Linked DNA regions of Ovis aries. The protein of the gene in region 1 purifies or fractionates together with the protein of each later gene. This does not show direct contact. Links are inferred from orthologs where the notes say so. Each region holds a gene or a part of one and is shown in the gene's direction. Other genes may lie near its edges. The genes, in order: LSM1 and PATL1.

What was found.
Region 2: the proteins of LSM1 (region 1) and PATL1 purify together in Homo sapiens (co-immunoprecipitation; 3 studies listed by BioGRID and IntAct, with this or other methods). This does not show direct contact. The link is inferred for Ovis aries from reciprocal best matches to the Homo sapiens genes LSM1 and PATL1.

What each region holds. Positions count from the first base shown.
Region 1 is NC_056079.1:32,431,953-32,440,687, reverse strand, and holds the end of LSM1 (U6 snRNA-associated Sm-like protein LSm1), read left to right. Parts: intron 1-322; coding exon 323-391; intron 392-1,787; coding exon 1,788-1,903; intron 1,904-4,971; coding exon 4,972-5,142; 3' UTR 5,143-5,507; downstream 5,508-8,735. UniProt on the Homo sapiens protein: Plays a role in the degradation of histone mRNAs, the only eukaryotic mRNAs that are not polyadenylated. Probably also part of an LSm subunits-containing complex involved in the general process of mRNA degradation.
Region 2 is NC_056068.1:81,414,318-81,423,052, reverse strand, and holds part of PATL1 (protein PAT1 homolog 1), read left to right. Parts: coding exon 1-8; intron 9-1,845; coding exon 1,846-1,935; intron 1,936-4,125; coding exon 4,126-4,306; intron 4,307-4,828; coding exon 4,829-4,952; intron 4,953-5,774; coding exon 5,775-5,872; intron 5,873-6,322; coding exon 6,323-6,382; intron 6,383-7,404; coding exon 7,405-7,553; intron 7,554-8,735. UniProt on the Homo sapiens protein: RNA-binding protein involved in deadenylation-dependent decapping of mRNAs, leading to the degradation of mRNAs. Acts as a scaffold protein that connects deadenylation and decapping machinery.

The sequences.
Region 1 (8,735 bases):
GAAACTGACATGATGCTGACAGGGTTTAACTGTCGAGCACTGGCGTCTGGAGCCAGTCCGTTGGGCCCCCTGACTGTGTGCCCAGTCCCTCCCCGCTCTGCTGCCCCTCTTAGATTCTTTTCACCACCCATCTTCTCATCTAAACTAATCCCCAGCTGCCTTGGCCATCCCTCTAGTTTCTCAATGAACTGCGTTAAATGCATTAAATGCTCTATAAGAGGAAATGCTAAAGCTTAATCTGCTATTAACTCTGTTTTTGTTTCCCTGTAAACTCGCTGAAGCTAACGGTTCATTTTTTAAAGATCTCTTTTCCTCTCCCCAGAAAAGCACTTGGTCCTGCTTCGAGATGGAAGGACACTCATAGGATTTTTGAGAAGCATTGATCAATTTGGTATGTATTACTCATGGACTTATCATGAGTCCGTGGTGATAAGAGCCATGGTGGCTTTTATCATCCCACACTCTGGATGATAAGAGCTGCCCACTGTATTTTTATGTTGTTTCGTATTGAAGTTTATTTATCTGCAACTTTTTTCACGTACCTGGCATGATGAAATACTGTTTTAAGTCACTACATCATTGTTTTCTAAATTACAATTAGGTGGTTTGAAAGCTTGTGTTTACAAGCTTATATTTTATTTCTAAAACTGGTTTTCACTATTAGAACATGTCGTTACAATGTTTTGGACTGTTTTTTATTTTCCCCATTAGAGGGAGCCAGATGATAGAAATACACTCAGTCCACTGAAAAGGCTGCTCATTTGTACATTGGCTTGGGTGCGACTACTCTTCAAAGCAGTTCCTGCCCTGAAGGTAATCCCTCCCTGTCCAATGAAAAGTGGGTCAGAGGCCTTTCCTGAAGCTTTTTAGGGACCCCCAACATTAAGCTCAGGATTTTATACTTTAGGATACATCAGACTCAAGGTCTTAATCTTGATTCTGTCTCTTACGTTTTTCTAAAGAGACCTTACATTTGCTCCTGTCTTGAGGAACTTCCAGTTCATGTCAACATTTGCTGGACATCAGCTAGGTCAGTGGCTTTGGGCCTAAGGAAGAACAACATAATTGAAATACTTAGTAAGAATCACAGATGATAGTACTGTGTTTCTTCAAAGACGACAGCAGTACCGACTGAAAGAAGAAAAGTAATAATTCTGCACAGATTGTGATTCTGAACCTTAAGTCAAATTCATCAAACTACGTGAGGGGAAAGTAGTGAATACTAATGTTACTCTCAGATTACCAAATTATAGTCATCTGACAAAGGAGAAAAAAACAGATTACTGTTGTATCATAATCCATGAATACCTACATTGGATTAAATGAATCATCTGTACTGAAACAAAGGTAAATCTTTGATAAATCATCACACACACATACCTACACAAAGTAGGAAAAATGTTTCCTTCTAAAAGAGAAAAAAAGATAATTTCTGCAGTTGTTTGGACTTTAGAGTTTTCCAAGTGCCGTATCATATTATTATAGTCATGTTGATATCAGCAGTTAACTCATAAGGAATTTAATTTTCTTCATTTATTTCCACCATCCTTGTATTAATGCAACATAATCCCAAGTACTCTATTTGCAGTTGTTTAAAAATCTCCAAGTGGTGTGTCTGAATGAAATAGGATGAGATTGTTTGAAATTTTAGCATTTTCCAGAATTAGAAAGTTTGAAAATCACGTTCAGCTAATCGTTTCTACTCAAGATAACTGATTGAGTTATGGACCTTTACCTGTAAAGTAATTTGAACTAAATGTCTTTGTTTCTTCCCTGTACACTTATAGCTAACTTAGTGCTACATCAGACTGTGGAGCGTATTCATGTGGGCAAAAAATACGGTGATATTCCTCGAGGGATTTTTGTGGTCAGAGGAGAAAATGTGGTCCTGCTAGGAGAAATAGTAAGTGAAAACTGTTAAGCTCCTACGGCTCTTGATAATCATCCAGTTAGGTTTCTTTTTGTCTTTTCAAGAAGGGAAAAATGTTTTCCAGCTTCTCACAGGAAACCACCAAATTAGCTTAAGAAGGGGATATTGTAAAAGGAGAGCTGCAGAGCACAGTCAGCTTTGTTTCAGCGCCTTCTGGCATATTAAAGATTTTGATCCCATTAGCAGTAAAATATCATTGATTTTTACCTGATATCATAAAAAATACTGTCCTACAAGGGAGTTTTTTGGCAGTCCAATGGTTAGGACTCCACACTCTTACCGCAGAGGCCCGGGTTCAGCCCCTGGAACCAAGATCCCAGGAGCTGAGTGGTGCAGCCATTATATATATAAAACACTGTCCCACACAAATGTGTTCATTAGCAGATTACTCTTGTATCTTTAATAGAAAATTGAAGCCTGATACCCAACGAGAGAAGAATAGTCCAATGAAATATGGCTTACTAACACTGGAATATTTTGTAGTCATTTAAACAGTTGGTTACAATGGTCTTTCATGGCATAAAGGTAGTTGGGTTTGGGGGAAAGGCACATGGCATGTACAGTGTGATATCTGTGTTTTTAAAGGGGGCAGGGGGAAAGAGTGACTGCAGCAGAAGCCTTTCTTCATTTTCTGAGAATGGACTCAACCTCACTTGGCTTCTTAGCTCCCAGTCAAGGAGGAGGTTCCTGTTATCTGTCAGGAAAGCCAGCTGGCAAGTGAAAAGTTAAATCCTCTCAAGTGGTGTTTCTGTAGGTGTGAGTGTGTATGTGTGTGAACCATTAGAAAACTACTCCAAAATATATATTAGAACTACTCCGACATTTTTAAAGAAGATAAAACTTGATTTCACAGTTTACATGAAACATTTACTTTAAAAATGCTTTATTTAATATCTTTGACTTGATCCTGGTGCTTCTGATTATTGCGTTTTCCAGGAAAATCAAACCTTGATTTTATCTTTAAAGTTTTCAGTAGCATTTCACAATCCCTAGCCACTTGCTGAGTCAGGTTTACAGAACTCTGGAGAGAACTGGCTCAGTCTGTAGCTGCTTTTATTTGTTGTTGTTGTTGTTGTTGTTGTTTTGTTTTCGTAGCAGTTTTTAACTATACACCATTCGCGAAAGTAAGGAGGTAATTCTGCCAGGGTCGTGTTTGTTCATGTTGGAAGTAGATAGAAAAAACTAATCAATGCTGTCCAAGAATTGCTATGAAATATATGAAGTAATTTTGAAGTTTTAAAAGTATTTTTGTGGTTGATGTAAAGCACCATGGTATCCTGGGATGTGGGGGTTGGGATGGTCGTCTGACTGTATATTCAGAGGGACTGGCCAATCTCTGGATGGTAGGATGGTGGGTGATTATTTTTTCCCCCTTTTTTACTTTTCTGAATTTAACTTTTAGAGAGGAAATGTATTACTTTGCTATCAGGGGAAAGGTTTAAGTCACAAGACCACACACACTGCTTCAATTGAAGAGAAGAAAACAGCACAGATACGCTTTCTGTGCCAGTTACATTGGCACCGACACGGCGCTATGTAGATGTATGGGAAGACAAGAATTTGTGTTTATTCTTGATGTGTCATTGTTTCCTGGGAGCCCTTTCGTGGAGAAGAGTACTCTTTTTTTGTATGTTAACAGTTCAGATTCTGCAGAATTTTTTATAGTGGTATTACTAAAGAAATACGGTTCGGGACTGCTTCCACAGTTCTATGAATCTATGGTCTGTTTGAAGATGTTGTGTACCAATTCTAGGAAAACGCAAAACTAGAAGCCACTTGCATTCTGTAGACGCGCAGTTGTTTGTGAAGTCCCTGGCTTCTACCTCAAGGATAATGAGATACGGGGCCTTAAGTAATAAGCTGATTGTTGGGAAACAGCATTGCCATAACCACACGAATAGCTCAGCGCATAACATTGGAAAGTCCAGGAGGTAGGACACTGAGCCAAGAACATTGTCTTCCCTTCTGCTGCCCATGGGCTGTGAGGGAAGATCACACTTGATAATATATATTTTGCTGGATGCAGCTAACTTTTGAGGGCAGGCCTTGCTTATGGAATTTATGTGGCTTTCGCTCTGGGAGAGTCCTCCATCTGCGGTGTCACCGCTGTGGCTTCCAAGGCCTTGGCCGCCTCTGTAGATGAGCATCTAGCGGTAGGCTGGAACGTCTGGAGAGGTGGCATTTGCGTTGATGCCTTCCCAGATTTTGTAAGTAAAAGTCAGAGGAGGATGAGAAATGTGAGTACCCTGTCCGTAGAGGCTTTCCATGTTACAGAAACACCAAGTGATACCTAGATAAACTTCTTAAGGAGAAGAAACAGTCAGTAAATAGATAATTTTATAGCAAAGTACTGCATTATCAAGTTGGTTATCAGATGTTTAAGCTGTTCAAAAATAAAATATTAGCATATTTTACCATATTAAATGGGAAATGTAGCCAATATTTGCGAAGAATGAATGTTGGGGCCAAAATGGTTTACTAACCCAACTGGTTTGCTGAGGTTTTCTCCAGAAGACTAGTTGCCATGGGGGAGAAAGAAGTCCTGTGTTAACAGAGGGCCAGTTGATTGCCTTTGGCTTGGGGGCTTGGGGGCTGGGGGTCAGGGGTGCTACTTTGAATCAATGTTTTCTACTTTTTAGCAAAAAAAAAGCCCCAGAAATTAGGCTGACTTTGACTGTGTATAAATACAAAATTTATTTTAAGCTACCTTGACCTTGGTGACTTCTCTCTTGGATTCCCTGGGGTTGGGGAAATAGCTGTAAGAAAAGTAGTTCTTAACTTATGTAGGACTTTACTTTGCACAGACTAAAGCTTTGTTATGCACACTGATACTGATTCTTGTTAAACCACATCTGAGTGTTCTATAGGAGCATTGCCAGCCATTTCTTTGTAAAGTGTTATCTGTCCATAGGGTGTTTGTGCCCTGGCACAAGTTCGTAAAATAATTCAAGCCTGATATAGGAATCCGTTTGCCTTTGTATCTGTGATGTTTTCTATTCTTGGTCATGAGGTAAAGTTTCCCAAACCTACTTGTTTTGTAGGACTTAGAAAAGGAGAGTGACACACCTCTCCAGCAAGTGTCTATTGAGGAAATCTTAGAAGAACAGAGGGTGGAACAGCAGACCAAGCTGGAAGCCGAGAAGCTGAAAGTCCAGGCCCTGAAGGACCGAGGCCTGTCCATCCCTCGGGCAGATACTCTCGATGAGTATTAAGTCTTCTGCTCAGAGACTGTCGCTCCTGAGGAGCAGGGCTGTCACTAAGCGAAGTGACGGCCTGGTCACCTCACACGTGTGATGAGACTCTATAAGAGTTTTGAAAAGTCATTTTTGTTTTGAATTCTTTCACAGATGCAACATGAAGAAATCATGTGTTGTGTTCTGTGTGTGTGTGTGTGTTTTTTTTTTTTTTTTTTTCATTTTAATTACAAAATCATCATTTAAAGAAACAGTGGCATGGACTCCTCTCACTTATCACTGTGGAGCCAGCAGCTACTTCTTTACATTGCTCTTCTCACCCCAAATGAGTGGCTACAGGGGACAGTCTTCGTTTACTTGTAAATAAAACTCGAATCTCAAAATTGCAGTGTTATTTCTCAAGTTTGAGTTGCCTTCAGTGACTGGACATCATTTAATTTCTCCTCCAAGAGGTATAAGCAGTCCACACACACGTGGAATTTCCCTTCTGTCACAATTCCAGCCTACTCTTGTTTTAGTTCATTTATTTGGCTGTGCCAGGTCTTCGTTGCTGCACGTGGGACCTGTAGCCAAGGCCTGTGAACTCTTAGCTGTGGCACACGGGATCTAGTTGCCTGACCAAGGATGGAACTGGGGCCCCTGCAGTGTGAGTGGAGTCTTAGCCACTGGACCATGAGGGAAGTCACTTACAAAGGAGTATTCTCATACTAAATACCCTGCAGGTCCTCCCTTGTCCCCTCGTCTTTTATTTTTTTCCCCTAACAACAAAAAATGTTCAGGCTTGAGGAGGGCTCTTTCAGTGAGGTGTCACAGTTCTTGGTTACAACAGAAGCTGGCGTTTGAGAAGCAGGAGTGGTAGCAACTGCATCACCAGCTGTGTTCCCGTGAGACCCACATGACAACTTCCCTAAATGCTCTGTTAATCTCATGAGGTTTTTCTGGTCATTTGGCTTGAGTCTTGAGCATCTTATGGTGTCATCAAAAATAAGCACAGATAAAACGGTGTTTCAGTGACTGACTGATTGATCTAGGTTCTTCTCCACCCACATGTCTTGGCCGCCACGTAAGAGGCTGTACTTTCCAGGAGTTCAGTGTTGGGTATTGGACAGTGTGAACTTGGAACTGGGAGACAAACGGGTTAAAATCCAGACTCTTCTCTTTGGCACTTGGGTTCAAGCAAGTCAGTCTTCCTCCTTGACTCTGTTTTAACTGTAAAATTATTCCAGATACTTATAGTCTTGAGCAGAGACATCATTTGCAGAGAAGATACTTAAATCCAATTCTTTTCTTTGAGTTACTTTATAGTATTCAATATACTTCACATTTTATGAGCTCAGGGGTTTGCAGATAAACCATTTGACCTCAGCTATTCATCACTGGCTTGGTTTCAAAGGAGGTAATATGGGAAAAGTTGCACTTTGATTTATCTTGTGTGTTTCACCTCTAACCTTACCGCTGAATGGCCTTAATTTCTTATTCCCACATGAAGGGGAAAAGCCCATCACCAACTGTTTAAGATGTGGTTAACTTTCACTGCAAGAAGATTTTGAGAGCAGAATGTGTTGGTTTTGAGCACCACCATTTCAGAATATCCAACACCTTCAAGAGATTCAAGTTCACTGTAATCTTTTGTCTTCTTGACCTCACTCAGACAATTCCACATGCAATCATAAGACTTAGGATTTATTCTTCTGTTCAGGAGAAGACAATTCCCATAGTAGGTCAGGAATTTTCAAGCCATGGCTGGGTTTCAGTCATCACATACGGTAAGGTACTGCCCTTTAGACCATTGTCGCATGGGCTAGAGCTGAAGGATGGAACAAGACGAGGCTCCCTGCTCCCTCCCTTTCATCTCCCTGCCCCTCAGTGCAGGGATCCCCCTCAGCTCTGCCAGTCCAGGCTTTTTGCAGATACCGAAATTACCTGAAATTATCCATCTTCATTCTGATGTAACTGGGTGCAGCAGCCTCTCTCTCACCCTCCTAGCTGTTCTTTTCCCCCTTCCTTGGCGCTTGACCTTTCATTGCATTCTGTCAGCTAAATTTAAACCACAATATCTGTTCTCCCCTACTCGGCTAAAGTCCCAGAAGGCCCTGGGTACTCAGCAGAACCAGATACTCTCAAACCATCTGGCATGGACGCCACGTCAGCGTAAACTGCAGAGGTACCCAGATGTGATGGCTGGAGAGTGGCCTCAGTTTTGCTCACAGGAGTACAAGGGACAGGTCAGGCTGAGAGACAGACAGTAGAGCAGGTGGAGCAAGCCCTTGATGGGGCCAGAATTTCCTGTTCTCTTGTTTACAACATACTTGCCTCAGACAGCTACAAGAAAATCCTTCGCAGAAGACCCATTTTAAATAGCAACACCATCCCCAACTATATCCTTTGCAGCTTTGTCTTTCACCAGAGCAGTTATTGCAGTCGAACATTAATTTCACTCCCCTGACAAGAGTGTAAGTCCTCAAGGCAGGATTTTTGTCATATTCACTCCTGTGATTGCACATGGAGAACGATGTCAGGCACATATCAAGTCTCAGTACATCTCTGTGGAGGTGAAGGAAGGATGGATAAATGATGGATGGATAGGGCATGCGGTGGATTCAGGCTGGTTACTAAGATTACTTTAGAGACCAGTCAGAGAACTACCAGGAGTGAATACACTGAATATGGAGATGATTTCTTACTGCCCCCACTGGAGACTACGGCCCTCCAGGAGTGAACAGTTGGGAGATGATTGGTGTGAAAATGCCTGGAAGAGCATCCCAGGGAAATGGGACCGGGGCAGGGGAGGACTTGTCAGGGTTGCTGGAAGCAACAGATGTCTTTCTTCTGTCTGTTTCCCTCCCGCCAGCAGGGCTGCACCCCAGCGTCGTATATTACCCTTTTATGAAGTGAAAGTTGCTCAGTCGTGTCTGACTCTGTGACCACATGGACTATACAGTCAGTGGAATTCTTCGGGCCAGAATACTGGAGCGGGTAGCCTTTCCCTTCTCCAGGGGATCTTCCCAACCCAGGAATACAACCCAGGTCTCCCACATTGCAGGTGGATTCTTATCCAGCTGAGCCACAAGGGAAGCCCATATTACCCCTTTCAGTTCAGTTCAGTTCAGTCACTCAGTCGTGTCCGACTCCTTGCGACCCCATGAATCGCAGCACGCCAGGCCTCCCTGTCCATCACCATCTCCCGGAGTTCACTCAGACTCACATCCATCAAGTCGGTGATGCCATCCAGCCATCTCATCCTGGGTCGTCCCCTTCTCCTCCTGCCCCCAATCCCTCCCAGCATCAGAGTCTTTTCCAATGAGTCGACTCTTCACATGAGGTAGCCAAAGTACTGGTTTCAGCTTCAGCATCAGTCCTTCCAAAGAAATCCCAGGGCTGATCTCCTTCAGAATGGACTGGTTGGATCTCCTTGCAGTCCAAGGGACTCTCAAGAGTCTTCTCCAACACCACAGTTCAAAAGCATCAATTCTTCAGCGCTCAGCCTTCTTCACAGTCCAACTCTCACATCCATACATGACCACAGGTAAAACCATAGCCTTGAATAGACGTACCTTTGTTGGCAAAGTAATGTCTCCGCTTTTCAATATGCTATCTAGGTTGGTCATAAC
Region 2 (8,735 bases), on another chromosome or scaffold:
AATCTAAGGTATACAGAGAAAGTGTGACTGTCTGTCCCTTGTCCACTGAGTCACTTGATTGTTGACATTTAGTGATAGAAGGTAGCAGTCTCCTTGCTGTTTTCAAATGATGTATTTTGTGATGTTATTTGATCCTCAAGTTGGCAAACACAGAAATGTTGGATGGTCTCCAACGTTTGATGTGAATCCCATTTCCCTCCAGTCATGTGCTTCCTGGGCCTCCCAGGTGGCTGGCTCAGTGATAAAGAGCTGCCTGCCAGTGCTGAGCCTTGGGTTCCATCCCTGGGTTGGGAAGGTCCCCTGGAGAAGGCGACCCCTTCTAGGATTCTTGCCTGGGAAATCCCATGGACAGAGGAGCCTGATGGGCTATAGTCCTTGGGGTCACAAAGAGTAGGGCGCAACTTAGCAACTAAACAACAGGATGCTTCCTACTTAGATTTGCACATTAATAACCTTTTTCTGGAGAAGGCAATGGCACCCCACTCCAGTACTCTTCCTGGAAAATCCCATGGACGGAGGAGCCTGGAAGGCTCGAAGAGTCGGGCACGACTGAGCGACCTCACTTTCACTTCTCACTTTCATGCATTGGAGAAGGAAATGGCAACCCACTCCAGTGTTCTTGCCTGGAGAATCCCAGGGACGGGGAGCCTGGTGGGCTGCCATCTATGGGGTCGCACAGAGTCGGACACGACTGAAGCGACTTAGCAGCAGCAGTCACCTTTTTATTTCTTCTAAAGTTTCTTATGTCTCACATATCCATTTGACACACACACATACATGCGCCAAGTGCTTCTCATCTAACAAGAATTATCTTACACTGAGGAACAGTGAGGGCAGTCCCTGACGGCCCCGTGGTTAGGACTCAGTGCTTTCACTGCCATGGCTCAGGTTCAGTCAGGGGAGCTGAGACCCAGCAAGCTACATCGTGCAACCAAAGAAAAAGAGGAACAGAGATAGAGATGCTGAGTTGTCAGCTAATCTCAGTGTTTAGCTACTTGCTTGCTTCCACTGGGACTTTACCATAGAGGTTTAAGTTCCTGCTTCAGTGAAATTGTGTTTTATTATATATCACATTGTCTCAGGGTTCTCCTGAGAAGCAGAACCAATAGCATATAGATAAATAAAGAAGAGATTTACTTTAAGGCATTGGCTTACATGAATGTGGGGCTAGGAAGTCCAGAATCTGTAGGGCAGGCCAGCAAGCTGGACATTCTGTTGGAAGTTGTGGTTGCAACCTGAGGTCTGAATTTGTAGGGCAGGTGAGCAGGCTGGAGACGCAATCAGGCCTTCCCATATTCCAGTCTTGAGGCAAAATTCCTTCTCTGGGAAACTGGTTTTCCTTTTAGGGCCTTCAACTGATAGGCAAGTCCCACCCACATTATCTAGGGCCATCTTTCTATTTCTTAAAGTTAATTGTAAATGTTAATAGCATCTATAAAACACCATCACAGCAATATCTAGATGAGTGTCCAAACAACTGGGTGTCTTAGGCAATCAGCATATTAAATTAACCGTCACATGTATATTTTCAGGATCATTTCCAAATCTGAATTTGAGTACATTAAATTTAGTTAGAGACTTCTCCTTAACAGCTAGGAGCAAAGAGAATTAAACTAGCTTACTGCTGATTCACTCAGATTTTATGATTGTCTTTTTAGGAGTTGAGAATTGTCTTTCATGGAAGACATGAAAATACAGCTGTGTCTTCCTTCTGAAAGATCTTCTTAGAGTAGACACCAGCATTCTCTTGGGTGAACCTGTGTGAAGTTATCCGGTATTGATCACATTCTTTAAAGCTTCAGGTCATCAAAAGGACAGAACTGAACATCTTTCCCTTTTTCTTAGATCGCAGACCCCAGTGTTTAGACCAGACACAACCCATCTTCATCCACAGCACCGTCGACTCTTGCATCAGAGGCAGCAACAGAATAGAAAGTACGTACTTAACCTCTTTTGTGGTTTCTTAATCTAGGTTTCATTTTTGCCTGATTTAGCTTACTTTTTAAGTAAATTTAATCAATATTGAGCTTATTTCAGCTGGCTAAGTCAGGTCATACGTGCTAGTTTATGTAATGCACAAGCTTTGAATGACTAGGGCTTATCAACTTATTTCCAAGTTAATATGATTCTGAAATGCAGTCTCGATCTGGGGTGGGGGTGGCCAGCATCTTCCACTCACTCCTTACCAAGTTCTTCCCATACTTCTGGCTGCGTTTTGTTTACCGTCTCGGCTCGGAGGTGATCTTGAAGTATAGTCTCTAGCATTACATTTGGGTCTTATGTAAAGCCGACAGTCACTTCGTTTTTGCCTCTGTTTAATCTTCATTCAAATATATATTTATATATGTGGCCCCAGCTGTGTACCAGCTACTGTGGTCAGTTTGGGAGATTGAAAGAACAAGACATAACATGCCCTTGCTTTCATGGAGCTTATATTTTGTCATCATTCTTATACATAAAATAAGAGAATTAAACATAACTTTGAAGTTTTTGCAGCCTTCCCTTTTATGGTTCTTTGTGTCTAATTTCCTTTTTCTTTCAAAAAAAAAAATTCTGGAATATTCTTTGCAGAGGTAAAAAACTAGTATGGGCCTTTAAGATACAAAAAATACAAACCGTAAAGGAAAAGATTAATAATATATTGACTGTTAAAATACAAACAGGCCTGCAGTTGACATTATGGTATTGTGCATTTCAGAATTTGAAAAGGTAGATCTCATGTTAAGTATCTTACCCGCCCCCAAGCCCCCCAAAAGGGAAGAAGAACAAAGGGACCCAAGGAGTGGGTGTATATGTCTAGTGCCTTTTTTATGCTGCTGGCATGACAAGTGTTTGCATTTGTCCAGACTTACCAATTTGTATACATTAAATTGTACATTTCTTTGTACAGCAGTTAGCAGCAGTTATTTGTAAAGTTGTTTACAAATATTTTTTATGAAATTGTAAAAATATATTAAACTTCTGTGTAATAAAAGGCATCAGACACAAGCATGCAGTCTTTCAATAGAGGAAACCTACATGGCTCATAAAAACACAAAGATTTTCAGGCTCACTTGTAATGAGAAAAGTGCAGATTGAAATTAGATAACCGTTTTATATCCTCAGACAGCAAAACATGAAGTGTCTCAACACTGTCGTTGTTAGCAGGAATGGAATATATATAGGCTTTGGAGAGAGAATTTGGCAATAAACAATAAGATTTATAATGTAGATACATTGAATCCTAGCAGTTTTACTTTTCAGAATATACCTGGGGGGTATATTATCAATGTGGACAAGTATGAAACACATAATATTGAATAAGAATCAAGGAGCAGAATTTTATGCCTAATACCATTTATGTAAAATGGAATACTACTGTATGATATTTAAAGGTAGATGTACAAGTAATATAAGTAATAAAAGGTAGGTGTACAAGTAGTAAAAGTATAAAAATATTTCTTGAAGGATATGTATCAAAGTCAGGATAGTAGTTCCTATAGGAAGGAAGGGGAGCTGGAAACTGATCTTGAGGGCTGTAGGTGGCCCCTCAACTGTAAACGTAGCACTGTGTTAGGTTAATATTTTACTTTTTAAAAATCTGAAACAAGTTTGACCAAATAATTTTTTCATTTAGTCCAAATGGTGAGTAAATGGATTTTTGAATAATGTTTGCTGGACCTTTCTATGTGTTTAAAGTATATCATAATTTTCAACAAGTTTTTTAAAAGTATGTAGACTTGGAGTCAAGGTAGCCTGTGGTCACACCTCTCACTGCTGCCAGGTGTACTGCTTTGGGCAAGTTACCTGATCTCTTCTGAGCTCAGTTTGTTGTCTTAAGTGGGGAAAATAAACTTACGGACCTCATAGGGTTATTATGGGGCTTATACACAAGTCCATAGGAGAAGGTGCTTAGCTTATGGTAAGGCACCCAGATTTTAGTTTAGTCCTCTGATTAGGTATTCCATAGCTCCTTCCTCTCAAATTTTGTTAAAATTCTATTCTTTTTCACTCCTCTTTTAATAAAAGCAAAGGGGATTTTTTTTTTTTTTTTTTTTTTTAGTTGGCCTGGTTTACTCCAGTATTGTTATAAGGTGTAATTCATGTGTCCACTCGGAGTGCATGTGACCTGTATTTCCTTTCCAGTCAGCATCGGACTCTCAACGGTGCAGGAGACAGAGGGAGTCACCGGAGCAGTCATCAGGATCATATCCGGAAGGACCCGTATGCTAACCTCATGCTGCAGCGAGAGAAAGACTGGGTCTCTAAGATTCAGATGATGCAGCTGCAGAGCACTGACCCCTACCTGGACGACTTCTACTACCAGGTGCGTGCTCTGGGCCAGTGCCCGGATGACTTCTGTTACCAGGCATGAGCACTGACCCCTACCTGGATGATTCTTATTACCAGGTATGCACTCTGGGCCAGTTTGAAAGGTAAGCTTAGTCACTTACCCTGGTGAAGGTACTCATTTAAGTATTGGTATAATTTTCTTCTGAGGTAGTCTTCAAGTAGGTAAGAATTTTGTCCCGTTTTTCAAGCTGAAGAATCTCTCACGATATTCACTGAAAGGTTTGCATATATGCCTTTTCTAAACTATAGAGACTCTCAAACCAATATTTTCAAATCTTTTGGCATCAATAATCTGGTTCTTAAAATTAAGAATTTTGGCAGTCTAATGATGTTTCCATTGATGCTAATTTTGAAGGCTGGGATTTTTTGATAAAGTAAATTCTTCACAATCTGATAAAAGTTAAAAGCCAGTACGTATAGAGCGCGAGCAGCGGTGCTGCCACTGGTGTAAGTCGCTCCATGATAGAGAGCGGCCAATCCTCTTCTCACATGGCAGAATTACTTTGAAAAACTGGAGAAGCTGTCAGCTGCTGAAGAAGTGCACGGTGACGGCCCAAGAAAGGAACGCACCAAGCTCATCACGCCCCAGGTGGCCAGGCTGGAGCACACCTACAAGCCAGGTGAGGCCGCTGTCCCACGCCCACGGCCGAGAGACTTGCTGTGCTGCTGGCGGGACGGCAGCCGCAGCTGTGTGGATGACGGGAAGGGGACGTGTGAGACTGATGTGCGCGGCACCGCTGTCCCTGACAGATGCGGAGGCCCACTTACTCAAGCGTGAACTGGATAGTTTGACAGATGACCTTTTAAGTCCATTCCTGCTTGAGATTCCATGACTTTTTAAAATGTTATAATTTCTAGTATCCATAAAATAGATAAAGGGGAAGATACTTCAGACTTTTCATAATTACAACCAAAAAAAAAATGGAAAAGGATATCTTTTGATAAGAGATTGCCTTCGATAATACATGGATTTTTGTAGTGAATTTTTAGGTCTGGAGTAAAGACTAGAGAACATAGGACCTCCTGGCAGTCTAGTGGTTAAGACTGTGCTTCCACTGCAGGGGGCTTGAGTTCCATCCCTGGTCAGGGGAACTAAAGTCCCCGCATGGAACACAGCGGGGCTTCCCTGGAGGCTCAGCAGCAGAGAACCCACCTACCGTGCAAGGGACAGAGGAGACGCAGGTTCAATCCCTGGGTCAGGAAGATCCCCTGGAGAAAAAAGTGGCAACCTGCTTCAGTATTCTTGTTTGGGAAATCGCACGGACAGAGGAGCCTGGCGGGCTGCAGTCCATGGGGCCACAAAGAGTCGGACACGACTCAGCAACTAAACAACAGCAGGCCATGCAGTGGGGCCAGAAAAGAGAGACTGTGATGATCTTCGTTGAATGCTGTCTGCCTGTGTTGCTGGGTTTTTACTTGTTGGCAACTTTTTGTCCTTGCAGTGCAGTTTGAGGGCTCTTTGGGAAAGCTCACTGTCTCTAGTGTGAATAATCCCCGAAAAATGATTGATGCTGTTGTGACGTCTCGGAGTGAGGATGATGTAAGTAGCCACAGAATTGTGTGTTTAAGGAAGTCTGGGTCAGCACTGCTTCTTTGACGGTCCCTGGGTTGGGATCCTAAGGCAGCCAGGCAGAACCTGGGGTGGCAGGAGCCTTTGAACTGGCTCCTGCCAGGTAACCCTGGCCACAAACAGCATTAGCTGTTTGTTCCAGCTTTTAAAACTATCATTTTCTGTGTGCTTAAGATTTTCCTATGGTATCTTCATTTTCCATTGCATTCTCCAGTACCTTTTGCTCCTCTGTGAACTTAGTTACTAGTTCATGTGTGGGCCCTTCAGTCAGCTCTGTGACCTTTGCCCCCATTACTTCTGCCTGATTATTAATCCCCACAGTACTGTCACAAATAGAATTACCTATGGAATTTACCAGCAGTAAATAATTCTTAACATGGTTAAAGAGTTCATATTGAAAAGTCTTTTCTTTTTTTTTAGGAGACAAAAGAAAAACAGGTTCGGGACAAAAGACGAAAAACCCTTTTCATAATTGAGAAAGTAAGTTTAGAATTGCCAAAGGTGCTGTAGTTGGTTTCAGCTTAGCAGACTGTGAAATGTGTGTGTACGCGACACGTGGGGAAGTAAACAGTCGGCCAGTGTCCTGCGATTTTAACTGATGTACATGTTTGTGCAAAGTGCCTGTTGTGTACAGGGCATGCTGGAAAGGAGTGTGGTTTACCTCGCCTGTGGCCTCGTGGAAAGAGCACTGTAGTTACAATCAGAAGTCCTGGGGTTTTGTCCAGGCTTGTTCAGTTAGTGGCTGAGTGTTTTAGGGCAGGGCATCTTTCTAAGAAAATGAAGAGAAAAATTACACTGTTCTGCCTGTGAATGGATTGTCTGTTCAGTCAGTTCCCGTATGTTTATTGACCATTCCCTGGGTGTTGGGCACTGTCCTGGGTTCTAAGGAAAATCAGTAGTAGGCAGTTAGTGTTGAACCATAAAACACCATGTTGTGGGGCATAGAGTATAGGCGTTAAGAGCACAGACTCTGAGAACAGGCTCCAAATCATTTCTCACCAAGTCTGTGACTTGAGGCAAGTCATTTAACCTTTCTGTGCCGTCTTTGGTTTTTTAATCTTTGAGAATGAAAGTGGTGAGAGTCTCCTCTCACTGGGCTGTGGTGAGTATTCCATGAGTGAGTATTGGCACGGTGCTTAGAGCGGGGCCTGGCACCCTATAGTCGCTAGCTGTTTCGTTTTCACAGATAGAGGCATCACGGGACGCGGTGGCGTGCATTGCTCACGTTACTAACAGGGCTGCTGCTGGAAACTTTGGGAAGTGGATAATCGTGTCACTACCATCGCCTGCTGGATTAGTGGTCAAGAAGGGGCAGGGAGCGATTCCTGAAGGGTGTCTTCTTCCTGAGTTGTTTGACAGTGTTTCTCTGGGTTTAAGCGAGCAGGTTTTTCCTCTCACTCTTCTGTGAGCTTCCACTCTTACGTTGTTGTCTGCTAGTCCTGGACGGCCACGTTGTGCACCTCACGCTGAGTTTGCTGAGGCCCGCTTTGTCTCTCCCTTAGACCTACAGTTTACTGCTTGATGTGGAGGATTACGAAAGGCGTTACCTCCTAAGTCTGGAAGAAGAGCGACCTGCCCTGATGGATGAAAGAAAGCACAAAATTTGTTGCATGTACGACAACTTAAGGGGGAAATTGCCTGGACAGGAGAGGTGAGAATTGTGTCCTTTGGTGAGAACATTAGTCTCGCTGGATTCCTTTGAGCTTTATATATCCTGCCTTTACCCTTCCTTACCATTTCAGTAAGCTCACTCCATAGAAAACATTTTAGAATCCTTTTGAGCCTGGGGTGGGGGAGGGGGTGGAAATCTATGTATCTTGAATTCATTCATTTAGCAAGTACCTCTTCAATACCTATTAGGAACAGTGCTGGACGCTGGAGACAGTGGGAAACATTTAGTTTCTTTTGTTGAGCTTATAGATTGTATCTAGTTTATGCTTACTAATGTTCAACCGTGTAATCTTTATGTATTTTCTTTCCTACTAAGATGGAAAGTGTAAACATTCATGCTTTCCTGGGATTGCCATACAATTCTTATTTGCTGTGGAAGCCAGTCAGTCTTCCAGTGAAGACTAAGCTTCTTAGTATAATTTCTCTGTCTCTCTGTCATCTCTCTCCCACCCAGTATCTGGAATAGAATCTTGCTAATGGTAAATGTTCCAGAAATCACAGTATTTATTTGATGAATGCAAGAGGATGCTCCCTTTGTCTTTGCCCATTCAAGAGAATTGATGATTCTTTTTGAAAAGGACCTTCTTTTTAGCACATCTTTTCTGGAGTTGGACTGACAGGGAGCTTGGTTGAATAAATCTGGGTTTCTCCGTAGATTGGACTGTTACGTAGCCAGTAAAATCTGTAAAGTATTATGTATTGCCATGGAAAAGTGTTTATAAGTTTTTGAGTGAAAAAAGTAACAAGCCATATAAATTATATGGATCCCCCTTTTTTAAAAATGAAAGATAAAAATATATAATACACAGCAAAAATGCCTTCAAAATGATAGCACTAGTGAATTATCTCTGAGATTATGAATATTATTAATACATGTATATTTCAGATTTTGCTGTTTTAACCATGTCATTTGTGTCGTTACTTGAAAGTTAATAAAGGAAATCAGTGCCTATGGTTAGATTAGTTTTTTTAATGTACAATTTTTGAAATGATTTTCAATATTCATGAAACTCAAAGAATTTACTTTTTATTATTTGTTGAGAGTTGGTAAAGTAATTCTCACTGTTTTGTAGTGCAGATCATTGCAGGGTGCACACGAATGCAGTGTGTTCATCTGGCAACATGGAGGAGGAGAAAGGGGGTTTCTGCGTTGCTGTTGCTG